2 linked regions of the Caenorhabditis elegans genome follow. The protein of the gene in region 2 purifies or fractionates together with the protein of the main gene of each other region. This does not show direct contact. Each region holds a gene or a part of one and is shown on either strand. Other genes may lie near its edges. The genes, in order: F17A2.13 and sorf-2.

Region 1 (9,486 bases), on a different chromosome or scaffold from region 2:
GTTTTCATGGAATGATTTAATTACGAGTTAAAATGCAATAGAAGTAGAGACCAAATACTGGCACATAAAATATGAGCGGAAGAAATGCTTGAATTGTAAGTCCCTGAAAAATTTTAGGTGATTTTCAATGCCATCATTCCTCTATTAATCTTGCAATTTTGGAACTTTTAAGATAACTACGTGGACACAAAAAGTGTAAGCACACAAATAACGAAACTGTTAAGAAAAAATATTTAACTGTCATTTCTGGGCGCACCTACTTTCACAAAAACTTGAATTTGAGACTTTTTCCATTTCGAATGTTGATAAAACTGTGAATTGATACGTCGTAAAATTTTCCTGAAAGAGCCTATTTTCGATTGAAAATACTGAACTACTCACTCTCGAAAAAAGAAGCTAATGAACGGAGAGGCTACTACAGATCCAGAAATTAACAGAAAATTTATTAGACTTGGTACTGTTTTCAGGCTAAGCGCTCCAACGATTGAGTACTCTTCGGCGTTTGCATTGAGAAACTTGTACTGTTCTCTGATTTCATTTGGCAACGACTGATTTATCACCATTATCACTTCCATAACCTGAAAATATTAATCGTTTTTTGTTTTCAATAGAACTTCTGATTCAAACCATTGATGCTATTATTGGCATGTGAAAGAGTAAAATAATACCAGTAACTCGACTTTTTGAAAATTCAATTTGTCGAACCAATTCATATTTGAAAACGAATGTTATTAAAATAGACATGCCACTCATAAATGCGGAAGTCTGAGTAAAGATTAATTGGATGAAACTAAATTATTGAGTTCAACAAGATCTATTGGTCAAAAATTCAAACTCTTAAGATTATACGGTAAAACAAAAAAAAGAGGTATTGTTCATAATTGCACACAATTCGTCTTCGAATTTTCTTCCAGAAGATACCTAGTATTTCTCCAACAAATAAATCATGACATTGAGAACTTTTGGTTTTCATTTTGAATTTTTTACATTGTAATCTAGGTAACTGATAATATTGACAATTTTTTTAATACACTAGTTTAAGTTATGTTTTTTTGTTTTAAAAATACAAAAACATATATATATATTTCAATAGCAGTTAACTTACTCAAAATGTATTCAAAAGATTTTATTTTCCAAACATTTCAAAATTTTAATGCTTAAGATGTATAATATGTTTTTCCAAACTCACACTCAGAAAACTCACTTGTAAAACTTGATACATTGTATAACCCAGCCACGCTTCCAAATATCTTAACAGTCCGTAACTTCTCAGTTCAATAGGAATAGCAGTTGTAATCATTCGAAACTGAGATGAACAAGAAACAACGACTAGGATAATTTGGAAAAGACTTGTGTTTAACAAGAATACTTTTAACATTTTTAGATGTGTTGGGGAGTGGTAAAAAATTAAATAAATTAACATCAACTGTGTTATTGTTGAAAAAATGAAGAAAATAGGGTAGAAGATATAAAGCACATCCCGATAAATATCCGCTCCCATTCTGAAAATTATATATGATTTGAAACGCTGCATATAAATTGTTCACGAGGTTAAGTTGATATTCAGTTTGATTGAATTTCAGTAAATAAGATCAGAAAATGGAAACGTTGCTTTTAGCGGGTTACAAAATGAAAACAGGGCGTTTCGTAGCAGATGTTTTTGAAGAAATATGTTTTTTTGTCCAATTCTGAAAAGTGGCATTTCCAATAATGACGTGAAATCTTAGAATAATATTTGAACATTTAATCAGGAATTTCAACCAACTACGACAACCTGAGCAACAAAAAGATGGAAATTAAAAAATAAGTAGAAACCCGGTTTTCGTCCGCTGGAAAGCGCGGAACATTATCATTTCAAACGATTAATATTCAAAATAAATTATCAGGCACTTAATTTTTTTTTTTTCAATTTTGCAGAACCAATTTCGAGAATTTAGATTTATGAACATTTTGTGGTTAAATTGTTGCGCGAAACGTGCCTAAATTGTGTCTGAATGCTTTTTCAATTTGTTGTTGTGAATAGCCTTAAGTAGGTTCAGTGTTCAGTGGAAATTTATCAAATATCAAAGATTTTAGATGTTAGGCAATTAATATCAAAAGTCAACATAGATCACTATATATAATAGAATTCAGCTCATCCCTTTTTCTGTATTATGCCCAATAATATATTCATTATTGTTTTTATTTTGTCCACACATTTATGACAAGTTTGACTAACTATTGACAAATACTATCCAAATTTAATTACTGACTATGATTGTTTATTAAAACTTTACCATGAATTGGCAATTCAAAACATGTTTTAAAACGAAAAAAAAAAGAAAATATTGAAGGATCAAAAGGAAAACAAAAAAACAATGTGAAACAACGAGATTCAGGTAGACATTAAAACTTCAGAAATTTGACAAGAAGTAGGCGGTGGAATAGCTAAAGATTAAAAAAGACTATGTCAAAATATCCACTAACAGTTTTGACTTTGCAACTTTTTATGGTACTTGGCAGCAACGTATTCCTCGTGAATCGATAATGACTTCTCATCGACATCATCAAGAAGATCAAAAAGAGCACAGCACAGTGCATCCATTTCTTTGTTTACTCCCTTCTTGCAATTTTCATAGATTGTCTTGAGAACATTTACGCGTTCATCGTGTGGTGCAATGATCGAATTCAATGTGTCCAAGCGCATCTGTGAAACCGATGCCGCAATTGATCGGAGTGCTGAAAATTAAACAATATTAGTGATAATTAGACACTGCTCTAAACGAAATATAAATTTTGCTTGCATGTTGATAAACAGTTCCGCTTGCCATTAAACATCAGTTTCTCTAATAAAATTTATGTTCAAAATTTAGAAATGCTTACTCTCTGATTTCCACTTGAAGTATGCTTCAAACTTGTGGTGAACTTGAGATCTCGCCAATTTGCAGTAGTACAGTTCGTTTACGAAGTTGCTATTCTCAGGTTCTGGTTTTTCCGTCTTACTGAGAGACGATGAAGCGGAGCAATGAGAGCTCTCCGATGAGCATGACGACACTGACGATTCTTGTTTTCTTCTTGACATGATTCTCGTCTCACGACGAGCTGGAGATCTACTCTCCACATCGAGATTGTCTTTTTTGATGTGAGACTTGATAATCGTTAGGCCAGAAAATTGGCGGGACAAAGATCGGAGAATGGGGGTCTCGACTAGTTCCTTTGCTTCGTTCTCGTTTTCATAGAACACCTCGTCGTTTTCATTTTTAGCATTCTCCTGCTCGTCAAAATTTTCTTGAACATCTGCCTTTTCTTCTTCTTCTTCATTTTGGCTCTGTTTCAGAAAAGACTCCTTCCTGAACACAGGACCATCGCACACATCTTCTCCTTGCTCTTCTTTTTCGGTCTCATCAACAGTCTCATCGTCAGTTCCGCCACTTTCAAACTTCTGCACCAATCTGCTCACTTTTCGGAGGCTATTTAAAGTTTCATCATGAAAGGCTGACTTCTTTTTATCTTTGTTCGGGGTAAACATGATATCCTCCATCGCTTGCCTATAGATTCCAGCGTTGGAGTAGGAGAAGTCATTGCAACACGACATTGTTGTACTGAAATTTAAAAAAAATTATAGGTATTGTATAACCAGTTGAAAAATTGAGAACGTTAAAAAAATGTGGAACAAAAGAGTAAGATTGAAAAAAAAAAGTCCAAACAGTTGTTTTCGAGACGGAGAATAATTGAGAGTGTAAACAGAAGACCATTCGTTCAAATACAAAATGAAGAAAACGAGGAATTAGATATTTTTACACTTATTTATATCGATCGATATTGCTAACGCGACATTAGACTCTCATCCCACTCCTTTCCCGACTCTTCAACCCATAAATCGTCAGAGGAAAACAACATGTAGCAATGGGAACATTGACACCCTTCCAAGTTTGGCAGATAATCTTTGTTGACTGCAAAACTAATAACTAAAAACTGCAGCTTAACAGTGAAATCAGAAAAAATTGCACCATTTAATTTTGTTCTGTTGTTTCTACAGGCTTCTTCAAAAAAGTGACTGTCCACTATCTTCAGATTTAATTGAAAAAAAGCATAATTCAAATTTGGTTACTATATAACGCAACTTTGCTTCTGAGAAAAAAACAATAAAAAATGCATTAACTTGTAAGATTGAGAACACAAAAAAAAACGATTAGGCAACATTAAGAGCAAGAAAGAGGAGAACAATGGGCGAATAATCCAATATGTGGGAAACGGCATCTGTTGCAACTCATATCGTGACTGAATATCGGCTGACCTTCCCATCTCACCGCACAGTTGCGCTCATTACGCAACGAACGCTTGCACACAAAAAAGTATTCGATTGACTCGCCCAAACTGCGCACATCATTTACAACCACTTGCGTTGCGTGCACCGATACTGTCTGTCAACCACAATTTGTCTTTATTCTTGACAACGTTACGTTTTTACCCCACCTCTCGCTAATGTGTCCGTCTCATCAACATTTTATCTCCAATACGTTTCCTGTCATTTATCATTAATTCTGGTTTATTGTAGACATGAGTGAGGCGTCAAAATCGATTATGGATCTGCTGTCAGAAGTTGTCAAAATTACCGACATGACTATGGATAATGAAGCTGTCAATAAATTGTGAGTTAGATTTTTGCTTATGTGCTGCCATAAATCGAAGTTTTCAAAAAAAAAAATCAACAATCGTTATGTGATGGTTTGCGCTTGTTTTTTCTGATATTCCTATAATAAAAATTCTCAATATTGTTTCATGGGCGTGTTGATGATATAAGTATTCAAATCAAAATTATTAATAAGTTTCAAAATTTTGGTCAATGTTTATAGATGTTGATAACAAATGTTCATTCATACTTAAAATACTTTGATTAGTTTACGACTCAAGAAAAAATAATGACAAGATATGCTTTTAAGCAAAGTTTCGTAAAACATCAAATGTTTAATTTTTTTGATCAGCTTTTGTAGGCAATAGCCTGTCTCTAATTTCTTTATTTGAACAGTACCGCTCCTTAAAACATTGCTCTAGTTCAACTATCATCACAAACTTCTTGAAAACTATTTTTTGGAAAAACTTTCTTAAGCAAACTCTCCGCTGGAGTGCTTATGTTTTTCTTTCAACTTCAGTATTTATCATAATATTGTTTTGGTAACTATACATTTATGGAGAAGTTGCGATAAGATGAAAACCAACACTAGAGATTACTATCAAGATACAAAAAAGAAAAGAGGATATTCACTTCCTCCTGAAAATAAAAAATAAAAAATTGTCAAAAGTATTTATGAATTTTTCAGAAAACCACAAATCAAGATCAATCCATTCTACCGAGCCGTACAAGATGTTCTAGTTGAGCAGAAGTCCAAAATCGACCTATCGACAAAGATGATGAAGGATCTTGAAGCACAAGAGAATGATGAACGGCTGGATACCATGCTCAAAGCAGAAGGAGTTGCTGGACCCGATGATAGTTTGTTGCGTATTCAGGAAGCTGCTGGAACTGACCAATACGAGTATCGTCAACAACTTTTGAAAGTGAGACGAGAGCTTGAAAATGAGACAAAAGCGTTTGACAAGGTAAGATCGTCTCATATATCACCAACCAATATACAAATTTCAGCACTGCAAAAAGTGGTGTGAGTACGTTGAAGATGTTCTCCAGCAACAAGGAGAATTCCGTCCAATCACCCAACAGGTAAGCCATAAATCTACCGGTGAAAAGATTAAACCAATTTTTCAGTCAACCGAAAAGTTTATGAACAAGATGTCCGGTAAATTTAACAAGGTCTGTTTTGTACTAAAACAGACTGCCTGCGAAGAAGTTATCCAACTGAAAAAGCGTTATCTGGATGCTCGTCGAAAGAGAAGAAATTTCTCGAAAACTTCCACCGAGATTCTCAACGAGTACTTCCTAGCAAACATCAATCATCCATACCCGTCGGAAGAGGTCAAACAGGCCTTAGCTATGCAATGTAACATTAGTGTTGCTCAGGTAAAATTGAAAATACAAAATTACATACTAAAAAATATGCATAAAAAACTTTTGAAGAATATTACGATTTGCATGAAGATAATATTGATAAGGCCTAAATTAAAAGCTCGCTAAAATGCGCCATCATCACCATTTGCGTCAGCTGTCTCCTATTAATATTTGCGCGGGAGTTTTGAATAGGAAATGTTGAAACGGTGTTCAGAATTAACGAATGCTTTAGTAGTTTCTAGAAAATGGGAAGTAAGGTTTTCTAAAAGAAACGCAAAACTAGTTCATTATTCTTTGGAATATAATTGTGGTTACATAAAATAATCGCTGTTCTATAGACACGAACCTAAAAATTATGCAACTTTTTTAAAAACTATTTTTGTCACTGTCAATATTGTCAGTGTTTCTTAACACTCTATCACTCTATTTGAAAAAATTTAGTCCCAGATATCTGCATACAATCTTACAGTAGTTTACAGTTTATTTTCAGGTATCAAACTGGTTTGGAAATAAGCGAATTCGCTACAAGAAAACAATGGCTAAGAATGAGGATGAAAGAAGAGAAAACAGAAAACCAGAAGATCGCCCTCCGCCTGGAGCTCCTGGAGCTCCGTATAGTCTGGTACCCAACGCGTTTGCAGGAATGATGAACCCATATCAGATGATGTTACCTGGTCATCAATTTCCCATCGGTGTTGCCCCTTTCAATTTTTCCATGTACAATCCTGAGATGGTAAGTTTTCATTTCAAATACTGTGAACTTGCAAAAATAGAGCAATATATGTAGTTTGTTTCAAAACCCGGATTTTTGTTAAACTTGAAAAAAAACTCGTTCTTGGATACATCAAATTCTGGAAACGATGTACTCCAAGTTGCGAGCAGCTGGAAAAGTTGAGAAACTAGGTTTTTTCTTACTGCCAGATTTTGAAATCATGCATATTCCGAAAAAAACAGTTTTCTCATTTTCAGATGGCCCAATATCAACAGTCTCTACAAAACCCAAATCAAACTCGATGACAAACTTTAATAATGCTGGTACTGAGTACTCATTCATACATTTGCCATGATGTTATAAAGTAATAAATTCATTGAAATACATCCTGTGTTCCATAAGATGTATTACTTTTTTAAGAAATTTATTTGATACTGACCAATGTTTTTGGCTGCAAAATGCAACATCACAATTTTTAGACAAGGGCTTACAATATAAATGAGGTAACAAGAACAACATAACTATTCACAGAACAGGAGATTTTCCTGAAGCGTTTTTAAAAATGTTGAGAAAGTGGTGATATTGAAAAAAAAGTTGAAATTAATTAAGTTTTTAAGAACTCAGGCCAGTTATATCCATAACAAGTAGTAGTATGAAATTTTGGTGGAACTGCGAAAATAACATGCTGAAATTGGAAACTAATGTAAAATTATATTATCTAGCGGTTAGAAACAAAATGGTGAAATGAAAATCTATGACAACCATGAAGTGGAGAGGTATTGAAAATGATCCGAAGTATAGGGAATTGATTTGGTCTGATATGATCCTATTTAAACATTTCCACATTTTGCTGAATACTTTGATATTTTGATTACTGCCTACGTGGTCCATTGGGCACAAGAACTCCGGGAGGAACATCAACTGTTCGCTCGGTCCAAAAACGATCTTCGGAATATTCGATCATCGCGTAACTGAACGCTGGTGGGTACAAATGGGCTTTTGGATGCTTCTCTGGGCAGTTTCGGGTGAGCTCAAGAACTTCTTCTATTATGGGAGGTTCGGTTTTGTAGTCCCGTGGAACATTTCTGACGAAAGTTCGGTCATCATTGTTTAATACTCTTGATTTTTTAACCAACAAAAATCGATTATCAAATTCAGTTAGAGTCCCTCCATCTTCATAGAAATGATTTCTCCTAGCGATATTTCTGGCGTAATTGACAAACTGTGCATCACGAGACATTGTTGCTTCATCTTCTCCAAGACCTAAGGTACTCGACAAAATCACTTCTCCAAATAAAATATCTATTGGCTTGTTCTTGTTTATGATGTAGATTTGGTATTGGTAATCAACGTGACGAACAGTCTGGACTGCAATGATTTTTTGCAGGCTTCCTTTATACATCACAAAACGGTCAGTGTCACTTCCTTTAACATGTAGTACGGTGTAAGGCATACCCGTCACGTCTATCACATTTCCATTATCATTTTCTACTGTTTCCGTTTGAGGTTTGTCCATTTTTTTATGCTGCTCAACTTCAATTGGATTTCCATCAGTTATTTTCTTCTTCTCCAGACTATCCAAAACCGCTTGAACCTCCTCATCGCATTCACCATCTGCAATTATTGAAAAAATCTGATTGGCTTCTGAACCTTAAAACGCTATTCTTTTGCTCAGTGCACCAAAACCCCTAATCTTATGACTGTAGTAAAACTCTAAATATTTCGAACTTTCTGGGAGGTGGAAAGTCTTAATAAACTCGATTAAAAAAAAAATATTTGATCTACTCTCTTGTTTCTTATTTATTCAAACTTACCACTATCTACATCTTCCTCTTCGCTTGTTTCGGAATCATCCAATGATTCATCGCTGCTACACTCATCATCCTCCACTTTCTGCTGAGCTCTCAAGAATCGCGGCTAAAAACTTATCCATTTTTCACAGAACAAACTTTTCAATAACCTACACTTTTCCGAATAACTCTGCTGGACTCTCCAATTTTGGCACTGGCGTAGTTCTTTGCCATAGGACTGTGGAAATACTCATAGTTTGATGAACCATTTTGAACGTCCTTCTGGTACTCCATCATTTTTTGTGGAAAGTTGAATTTAAATGGCTCATGCTTTGAACGCTTTGAAGGATTATTTGAGGCTATTGGAACACTGTTTTCAATCGGTCCAAAATGTAGACCGGACGGAGAATCGGTAGGTTTGATCAAATGATCTTTTGACGCGCGTCGTTTGTAGATACTTGGCGGAAATGGCTTCTTGAAAGCCTCATCTTCTTTCTGGTCCGTTTTAATGTTTAGATTTTTGAGATCTTCTAGTGGAATCTGAAAATTTGAATAGGTTAAAAATGATATATCTGATCAAAAACAGTATACACCCCAAAAATTAGGGTATCTTATTAACTCCAATATTTCGACTAACAGTAATGAGAATTTAGGCTAATAGCCTTAAAAACTTTATAAAATCATAAGAACGTTTTTATTTGCCACAAAAATTCGTATAAATAACATATGAGTTTTTTTCAAAAATTTGACTAGACTTTTCGTAATTTGAAATAGATACCTATTATGTTTACAGACTTACATCGTTTATATCCATGTTTCCTACTACTTGCTGATCCTTCGCAGCCGACATAACGTGATTTCTAGAAGTGTTTTTGAAAAAAAGGCTGGCTGAAAAATTACAATTATGAAGTTTTTTTTTTGTTGGAAAATTGTTAACGACAAAAGAAACTCGCATGGTGAATTCCACAAATAGTCGGGTGACAAAGGGTTATGAGAGCTCA
Region 2 (9,486 bases):
AACACCGTCGGTGGATGCAATCGAGTTATCAGCCAGGATTGTGATGTCGTGTACTGGTCGAGTATGTTTCTGATATGTCCATTGGCATCCGATCTCATCGAGTTCCGGTTTGATAGACCATAGTCTGGAAATAAATCATTTTGTCTGAAAATTGATAGATTTTGCTTACTTCACAGTTTTATCTGATGAAGCCGACACAAATGAATTCTCATTGGAAATTGCAGCCAATTTTCGGATTTTCTCTTGATGACCAGTGTAATTGCACAGCGAAAGATGGTCAAACCGATAATTGCTGAAAATGGAAATTTTGGGATTTGTAGATGTTTCAAGTATGATGTAAAAACTTACTCAACGCCACAGACCGCCGCAGACACCCTAGCACACCAGACAGCGCTCAACGATCCCGAATCACAGAAGCTGAGGCCTCCCAAGCTATTCACAGAATTTACAGGACTTGACGCGGAAAGCGAGAAAAGTCGATTGCCGGATGACATTCCACCTAGTGAGTACGCTGTGAATGCGGACGGTGGAGAATGAGCAATGGAAGCTGGTGGAGATGAGGATGAGGATGAGTTGGATACGAATGGAATCAGGAATGCAGGATCATCACAGAAAGAGGAGAGGAATGGAACACCCCATTCTTTGGCAAACTTGTCAACGACATCTTCAACCATCCATAGGGGAACTTCGAAGAGGGTCTGAACAGAATCTTTGAAAACAAAACACGGTTGGCGACTTGTAGTTCGTAATTTTACTCAGAATTTTTAGCGACTACATCTTTATTAACCTAGAGGCCTATAGGAGGTATACCTCTACCGGTGCTATTCAGTAGGCTGTTTGGATAGTACGATAGGGGTACTGTAGGGTCAATTTGGAAATATTAATCGTTTCAACAGACATGTTAGCTAGCTTTAGCTTTAGGATTAACTAATCATGAAAGATTCATTTTGTGTAAAAAAATTGATTACATTTTCCGAAGGTCTTTTCCTGAGATTGATCCTCAGCTCTTCGTCGGTTTCATAGATCTCACTGAATGTGGAGAACATAAGTTTGAAGGGTTGATTAGCGTAGATCCGCGTGTTCTCGGTTCCGATCTTCTGGGTTATCGAATGAAGAAGTTGGCAGACCTAAAATATAGTTTGGTTTATAATTTCATATACATTCCATATTAGCATTGTCACCCCGTATCTCGATTGTCTTTGGTTTTATCAACCATAAAAACAACTGTTGGCTACAAAAATTTGGATGGTTGTTTTTGCAGTTGGGAATTTACCAACATTTTCAAAATGAACCGAGATATGAACTTGCAAAGTAGAGGAGGTATTGTAGTTAACTGTAAGTAATGACCTTGCAAATAATGATAATTCGAACTCTCATGGAAGAAAATTGAAAACTAGCGTCCAGCAGAATAGTGAGTACTCGATAGATCACTTTCTGGATGATGAACTCCTCAAGATAGTTCATTAGCTGATGATCTGACATGGATCGGATGGAGAGCTCAACAATCCGGAAAACAGACACCAGTCCCGGCTCCAGCTGTACAGACGATCGTTTGTGGAACTGCTCAATCAAGTCAACACAAAACGGGAGAAATTGGACGGTGATGAATGTCACACTGTAGGTTAGGACAATCTCGGAGAGGAGGGATTCGATGCGAGAGCATGTTTCGTCACCTTGTAGAACTACGTTGAATACAGCCTGAAAATATTATTTGATTTTAAGTTTATAGATATATCCTCTGGTCGTAAAAGTTAAAATCCTAAAAAACAAATAATCTTTCAACCCCTATTAGAGCTGCAAGCTAATTAACTAGAGCTGCAAGATTGGGGATTTTCGGTACTGCAGAATTTTGAAATTTTCCTACCTTTGGTTGCTGCTCCAACCCAACCATCTCAAATGCCTCGTAACAACTCGCCATGATCCTCAAAACATTCGACGAGATGAACTTTGCGCAGATCACCGGACCATATCGTTTCGCGAGCCACATGATGCTTTCCTTTGCCACCACTGATCTATCACAATTCATGGATGCGCACGCTTCAACGATCGGTGGAAGGAAAAGGTCGAGGAAGGTGTGAGTTCCGTAGCAAATTGATACGTGCATCAGAAAACGACGATCAAGAAGCTTTACTGAAGTTTCACATTGAATCAGCTCGATCATCGGATTGATCAGATCTTCCAGTGCGGATTGGCTTAAGCTTCTCGTGATCACTGGCATAAGTCGATGTACGGATTGAATGCATGCTTCTTCGTCTTCGAGTAGCTGCTGGAATGCCGCCACTACACATTGTTCCATGTGGTCGCAAAGTCTAATTGATTTCTTTAGACTTTCCACTTCTTTCAGAATGATTAACTGGGATCGTTTGGCTGGAAATTTTATATTTAGCTGAAAATTCAATGAACTAAATTACAGAAAGGCGGAATCACGTCCAACTTTCTCAGGATATGCAGGGATACACATTTGCCAAACTCTTCAGAAAAGTTTAAGATCTTAGTCGGAATGTTGAGTCGAACAGAAACGAAAAACGAGAATTCATCACAATCTGGAAAGTCTTGCTCTGTATTGAACAGAAAATCAAAGAGTCTCCGATAGTTTGCAGGAATCCGATAGGAATAGAGTTGGATGCATCGTCGAATGTGATCAGGATCATCAAATCGTCCTGCCAGATGCGGTGCCAACACTATCTGCGCCATCACTTCCATTGCTGATACCATTGATGAGAAATATGTATTGTGGCGGAGACGCTAGAATATATTATTCCAAATTTTATAGATTAGAATGGGAAAGTACCCGAACTTTCTTGATCTTTTGGTAGATCTGATAGTGGCTATCCTCATCTGGTTCAACTTCGGGTTCCTTGCGATGTTCAGAAGTCATACCAAATCCGAAGGACTCCATTTTCAAATGGTAATTGTCGAGTTTCGGATCCTAAAATAGAATTACAAATAATTTGAGTTTGTCAAACGATGAACGCATCGCAAGTTTCAGCTTTCAAAAATAGATGCCAAGTCGGGTCAGATCTTCAGATTGTTCCAAATGCAACAATCAGATGGAAACCCAGGCTGTTGATCTAGGATTTCTGAACGCAAGAGATGATCGTGATCCATGACCCGAACGGATCGGATCATGTATACTTGGATCTTACATTATCAAGGATCCGACTTTTACACCACTTGTATCTAGAAACGAAGTAGACATTCCGAACTTCAACAAGACACCGGAGAGTCTGAAGTTCAGAAGCTGATCGGGATTTTCAGAGCTCCAAAAGTATAGATACCGGTTGATAAGATTTATAATCTAACGCTAGGTAACATACATAATTCAACGGCATCCTTATCGGATGAGGTCTATTGAACAGTTGAACCATTCCCGTTGTCCGAAGCCCCCGTCGATTCTTTTCCACAAAGCATAGATGAAGATTCAGCGCGTTCTTGCTATTGTCGATGGCGAGCTGGAATGCAATTTTTCTCATTTTTCGGTGGTATCGGTGGTATTTTTCTCATTATTTTTTTTGTTTTTCGGTGGTATTTTTCTCATTTTTCGGTGGTTACATTAAATCCGAAAACGAGGTCGATCCATCTGTGGAGGTTCATGGAAACTTCCTCGTGTTCCAGCATTTTCCGGTGCCATTCAATGAATTCCTGTGGGGAAGACACGAATTCGGGAAATCGGAGGTCAGCCATATCCGGGTGGCAAGAATCTAAAAGTAGGTGTTTGAAAACTAACGTGATGCTGATACGCTCAATTGAACTTTTTTTCAATAAAGCGTGATTGGGTAGGTGGTCTTACTGAAAATCGACGGATCATCATAAAACTCTGGAATACACTCGTCAGGAGTCCACTGGTACATTCTGCTCATCGTCGATGGGTACTCTTCGGGTACCCACTTCCGTCGTACATGCCGGCATAGGTTATCCTTAGGCTCCACACGGGCTCTGTAGACCATGTAACCAATGTCTGAGAGCAGCTCGGGAACGTGATGCGATGGCTCACGGGAGTACATTTCTCTAAAATGGTTCAGTTTTTCAAAGTTTTATTTCTACCAAACTATGGGTTTTCTAAGGGACCGGGGCTTCGAGTTGGAAAATTTTGGTATATGGTAAGTTTAGTAAGTTTTATGAATGAAACTTCAAAAAAAATTAATTTGCGACGATGCTCCAGTATCACTACAAATATATTCTGATATTACTAATATACAGTAATATCGGCATGGTCGTGTAAAATATTGGTAGCCGAGTTTACACTTTTTGAAACTATGATTTCCAAAAATTTGTGTACCTTAATTGATCATCTCCCTTGCACAGCCGATATTTCGTTCGATTTAATTGCCGAAACCCGCCATTTTCCTCGGAAAAATCACACACCCACGGAAAAATCGGATGATTATGTACTTCTCCACGAACTCGTCCAGTGATATCATTCAAATATGTCAGATACTGATAGTTTTCCCATTTTCTATTCGCCCAATTCGACGTTGCCTCATCAAGAGGTATCCTGGGGGCTCGCGGAGCTCGAAACTGCTCAAATATTGGAGCAAGAACATCATACTGAAGCCAGAAACTTGGAAGACAGCGGAAATGACGGGTTTTGAATTCAGCTGTGATCTTTCTCGAGAATAATTGGGAATATAGGTCGAGTAGATTTTTAGTGAGGAAATGGATTGTCTGAAGGCTTCCATCAGGAATATTACTGTACGAGTGTCGGAGTACAGTTTGAAAATCGATTCCTTCTTTCGTGTGACCATAAATCAAAATTACATTATCTGCCTCTGTATGAGCAATTGCTAGAATTGAAGTCATATTTGGAAGAATTTGAAGACGTTGAAAATTTATTGTCTTATGAGGTGCTTTTGAGCAGTTTATATGAGAAATTGAAAGCTTCTCTGCGATATTTGCCCATTTCGTGATCCAATCCAATTTTGTGCTTTTTGCCGGTGAGCACACTCCATTTTTGACTCGTTGGTGCTCTTCATAGTCCATTAGAGGGTCGAATGAGGTGTTGAGTCTGCAAAAATTTGAATAAGCTTTATAATAATTAGTTCAGTGGAGCGGGATCGCACATGGTTCAGTTTTCAAATTTCTTGGTCTCGACAATGAAAAAAATAGAGCGCCATGGCGCGTCTTTAAAGATTTCTGTAGTCTCAAATTCTCGTTGTTGCTTAATTTTCATCGATTTTTAACTTATAGTATTTTTTCCAATTTTCAAAAATGTATATATTTTTATTCAAGAAAAAATATCATGAAAATTTAAAAACTATTTATGAAAAATCGACGCAAAATCGCAACGAGAATTTGAAGCTACAGTACTCTTCAAAGGTTCATACAATTTTAATAACTATTTGTCGTGTCGAGGCCAGTTACAGTATTATCGGAGCAAAAGTTGCAGAATTTGGCATCTGGGTAATATAAATTTGCTCACAATTTTTCGAATTCTTTCTCGAGTGCCACAGCATCTGTGGATTCGTGAATCCAGGCCATTTTTGCCTCAAGTATGACATTTTCCAATTTCAGTTCATCATGTGGAGCCCATTGGGTGAGAATTTCTGATAGAGCATTTAGTTTTGACTCGTTCCATTCGAACTCTTCCTCAGGCATATATGGGTCTGAAAATCGATAAAATCATGATTATTAAATTTTTATAGTTCCCTAAAACGTGGCGGGACCCAACAGGAATTGATCACGCGCTTTTAAGATTAAAGTAATATGAACTCGACAAATTCTGAATTATTCAATGGAGAAATATTCAAAAACGTTGCAATTATCGATCTTTCCGAAGGCGGAGGTCAATTTTGAATTTTCTGGTAACCCAAAATCAAAAATAAACATTTCGACGGGAACGAGATGATGATTGTTGTATCGATTTTCAGGGCAAACATAAATAAACAAAACTTTTTTATTTATACTTATTTTTAAAGAGAAAAACAACAAAAAGAGAGTCAACAAATAATTCTTACTAAATCCTAAAAAATCGATAAAAATCGAATAAAAAGACATTAAAGTTCCAGGCGAATGGATGTTGGCAGGAAAATGTCCAATTTCTTCTGAGTTCCACGAATTGTGATTTGTCTATCCGTGAGTTCAGCATCTTTTGGTGTAGCGTTACTTGAGATGTAGAGGCGATGAATGTAGGACTGAAATTGGTAAAAATGAGATTAAGAATTGTTTTTTTTTTCAGAAAACTTTTTATAGAAAGTTCAATATATTTATCAGCAATCAGTTAAATTTTTAAAGATTCAGTTTTTGGCTAGACAAGAAAAGATTATACAATACAAAAAAATGCTCAAAATTTTTTAAATTAAGAATCGATATAATCATGTTCAAAACTTGATATTTAAACCATTTATTTTCACGAAAATTGTATATTTTCACTTTCGAGAAACTTAACAATTTAATTATTTAAGTTTAAAAATAAAATTTTTTGTGTCAATGACACTGGGTTTTAAAAATTTAACTGATTCAGAAAAATCTTAAAAATAAAGGAGGCATTAAAAAATGTAATAGATTTTTAATTTTTTTTGTAACTTTTTTTCTGCAAAAAACAGTGAAATTTCTAAATCAAATTTTCACTGAGATTTTAAATTGGAAGTTTTTTCTATACTTTAAGAATTAAATTGTTATGCTTCTCGAAAGTAAAAATATAGAATTTTATTGAATATCAGTTTTGCTCATTTTTCTCAAAATTAATGTTTTTCAGAAGAAAAAAATAATAAATTAAATTTCAAAACGCTGTTCTATTTTTTTAAAGAATTTTAAACACTAACCGGTAGAGCAGAAATCTTAAAAGCAACAGAATTTGCCAAGAAATCAGTTCCATAAAACTTTTCATCAGTACTTCTTCCAACAATTCCTTCAGAACATCGTTTAAATCCATCAGAAATTACTCCAAATCGTCCAATATCCGTACCGCCCATTCTGAATCGAATCTGTGAATAATCACTCATTTGTTCATTTTCGATAAGAAATTCAGCTCCGTGTGTGTCCAGTTCATGTTTTTCTCCGCATTTTTCGTTGATTATTCCCGTATAATCTTTTTGCCCTGAAAATTGAGAAATTTTGATTCAAAACTCGAAACTCGAGCAATAATTTAACTCTTGGTACCAGAAAATTAGTAATTCGAATTTTTTCAAATTGAATGCTTGGGGTTGTTTTTTTTTCGCAAACATTTAAATTTTAACATTTGAAAACTTTTTTTTAAAAAATCTAAATGTATTTCCCAATTCTGTAGAAAATTTGGGAGAGATTTCAATTTCAAATATCAATTCTCTTAATAAGAAAAAAATGTTAAATATATTTTTCTCTAAAATTCAATTTCCAATGAATTTTCAGAAATTAAAGGTGGAGTAGCGCCAGTGGGGAAATAGTTTTTAAACATGCCTATGGTACCACAATGACCGAATATCATGATAAAAAAATTCAAAAAAATTTTCTAAATTTTATATGATTCTTTGAAAATTGAAAAATCTCAGTTTTTGCCTAATTTCTATTTGAATTACCGCCAATTGGATTTGTTCGATGGAGCGCGCATGCACGTTTTTAAATTTATTTATTTTATTTTTTGTTATTTTCCACCGATTTTTAATGTTTTCGGTGTATTTTTGGTCGAATTTTAGAGAAAAAATCAAAATAATTGCAAATTTTCGATTAAAAAGCACGCTTATAGGCGTAAAAATGTAAAAGTAACTTTTTTCAACGATTTCAAACCTGAATTAATTAATTTCACTGATTTACATTTTTACGCCTGTAAGCGTGCTTTTTAATCGAAAATTTGCATTTATTTTGATTTTTTCTCTAAAATTCGACCAAAAATACACCGAAAACATTAAAAATCGGTGGAAAATAACAAAAAATAAAATAAATAAATTTAAAAACGTGCAAGCGCGCTCCATCGAACAAATCCAATTGGCGGTAATTCAAATAGAAATTAGGCAAAAACTGAGATTTTTCAATTTTCAAAAAATCATATAAAATTTAGAAAATTTTTTTGAATTTTTTATCATGATATTCGGTCCTTGTGGTATCATAGGCATGTTTTAAAGCAATTTCCCCACTGGCGCTACTCCACCTTTAAGCAAAAATTGAGCGAAAATTGTTCTTTTAAATTAAAATTTAAAATTTTTTGTCATTACAAAAATTCTCAAATTCGAAATTTTCCCGAATTAAAAAATTTGAAATTTTTACAAAAAAAATCCAATTTTTTTTGTTGCAAATTCATTGAAATTTCCCATACCATCATTATTTTTATATTTTGGTGTTCCAGTAAGTACATGCCACCATCTCCATTGTGGTGCCTCAATAATTGGTTTAGGCCTGCATTTCTCACATCCAGCACACGTTTCCTCGTATTCCACGTGGCATTCGATTGGGGCGGGGCCTCGTTTAAGCATTTCCCAAAAATAAGCCCACCGTCTCTTGGCCATTGAGAAATACCAGAATTTCTTGCGAGTATCTTCGATTTGTCGAAACCAGCCAGCACTGACGTCACCGAGTCCATATTCGGGAGCCAACGTGGAGCCTTCTGTTGTTAGTTCGAATGCGTAGACACTTTTCTTTTGATCTTCAATAACAGCCATTGCAGTTTCACATGCATGTCGAACATCGTCAGAGTTTTCGAATACAGATGGAAGCATTCGTTTGAGCCAAAGATTATCATAACCTCCAGGGTAAAAACCGACGGGTAGTTGAGCTTTTTCTCTGAAAAATGGAACTTTTTGTCCCCAAAAAATTTCCGTTTTCCGTCATTTTGCTCTTACTCTTACAATTCTGAAAAAAATTATAATTCAAAACCTTTCTTTTTCGCAGCCACGTACTTCAAATTTTGAATTCAGTAGTTGAATAAAAACAGTGCCTTCGGAGGAAACCAGATTGAGAAAAACCTCAGAATTTTTAAATAAATTTCCAGATTAATTTTTTTCGATTTTTGCGCACAATTTGTTATGCTTTCAAGTTTCCCATAAAAACACACATTATCGATAGCGCCTACATAGTTTTGACCAGAATTTTCAGAATTTCTATCAATTTGTCTCCAAAAATTTGAATTTTGTGTCTTGATTCGTGTTAAACAACCGGAAACAATTTCAGGAAATTAAATAAATTCAATTTTAACTGCTCTACCGATTTCTAAAAATGCCAGTGACAACAGTTCCAATTGTTCCATCTCCTCCAACAACATATAGAATATCAGCTTCTTGTGTATCAACTGCTCCGGCAAGAGCTTCCAATTGAGCTTGATTATCGGCCTATAATTTTCGGGAAAATTATTAAATATTAAAATAATCAAAAATAAAAACCTTAACAACATCAACCTGAACCCCAGCAAGATGGAATAATGGAAGAGCATTTTTATTGAATTGATCAAAGCATCCACGTGAATTTCCTTCTACATTCACCAGAACAAATACTCGTTTCGGACGTGTTTCGGCTGAAAATTTGAAAACTTTTGAAATTGTTTGATGTTTTTTCCGATTTATTTTTAAAGACTTGTTAAGT

What was found.
Region 1: the proteins of sorf-2 (region 2) and F17A2.13 fractionate together in Caenorhabditis elegans (co-fractionation; one large-scale study listed by BioGRID). This does not show direct contact.

What each region holds. Positions count from the first base shown.
Region 1 is NC_003284.9:12,315,754-12,325,239, reverse strand, and holds F17A2.13 (uncharacterized protein), read right to left. Parts: upstream 3,584-9,486; 5' UTR 3,575-3,583; coding exon 2,863-3,574; intron 2,719-2,862; coding exon 2,462-2,718; 3' UTR 2,247-2,461; downstream 1-2,246. Other genes in the region: srd-40 (Serpentine receptor class delta-40), read right to left, coding at 25-103, 261-339, 382-578, 628-765, 1,205-1,501; Homeobox protein ceh-40, read left to right, coding at 4,540-4,631, 5,301-5,580, 5,624-5,698, 5,744-5,995, 6,474-6,716, 6,953-7,000; xtr-2 (MX region of TRA-2 Related), read right to left, coding at 7,567-8,309, 8,510-8,612, 8,660-9,025, 9,285-9,440.
Region 2 is NC_003281.10:5,322,740-5,332,225, reverse strand, and holds the start of sorf-2 (Suppressor of organelle fusion 2), read right to left. Parts: upstream 5,604-9,486; 5' UTR 5,596-5,603; coding exon 5,420-5,595; intron 5,006-5,419; coding exon 4,280-5,005; intron 4,009-4,279; coding exon 3,791-4,008; intron 3,702-3,790; coding exon 3,553-3,701; intron 3,453-3,552; coding exon 3,318-3,452; intron 2,930-3,317; coding exon 2,792-2,929; intron 2,746-2,791; coding exon 2,412-2,745; intron 2,368-2,411; coding exon 1,865-2,367; intron 1,699-1,864; coding exon 1,348-1,698; intron 1,128-1,347; coding exon 969-1,127; intron 699-968; coding exon 349-698; intron 293-348; coding exon 170-292; intron 125-169; coding exon 1-124. Other genes in the region: F52C9.3 (uncharacterized protein), read right to left, coding at 5,994-6,131, 6,762-7,036, 8,228-8,691, 9,112-9,236, 9,288-9,418. UniProt on the Caenorhabditis elegans protein: Together with sorf-1 negatively regulates the levels of phosphatidylinositol 3-phosphate (PtdIns3P) to enable the conversion of early endosomes to late endosomes.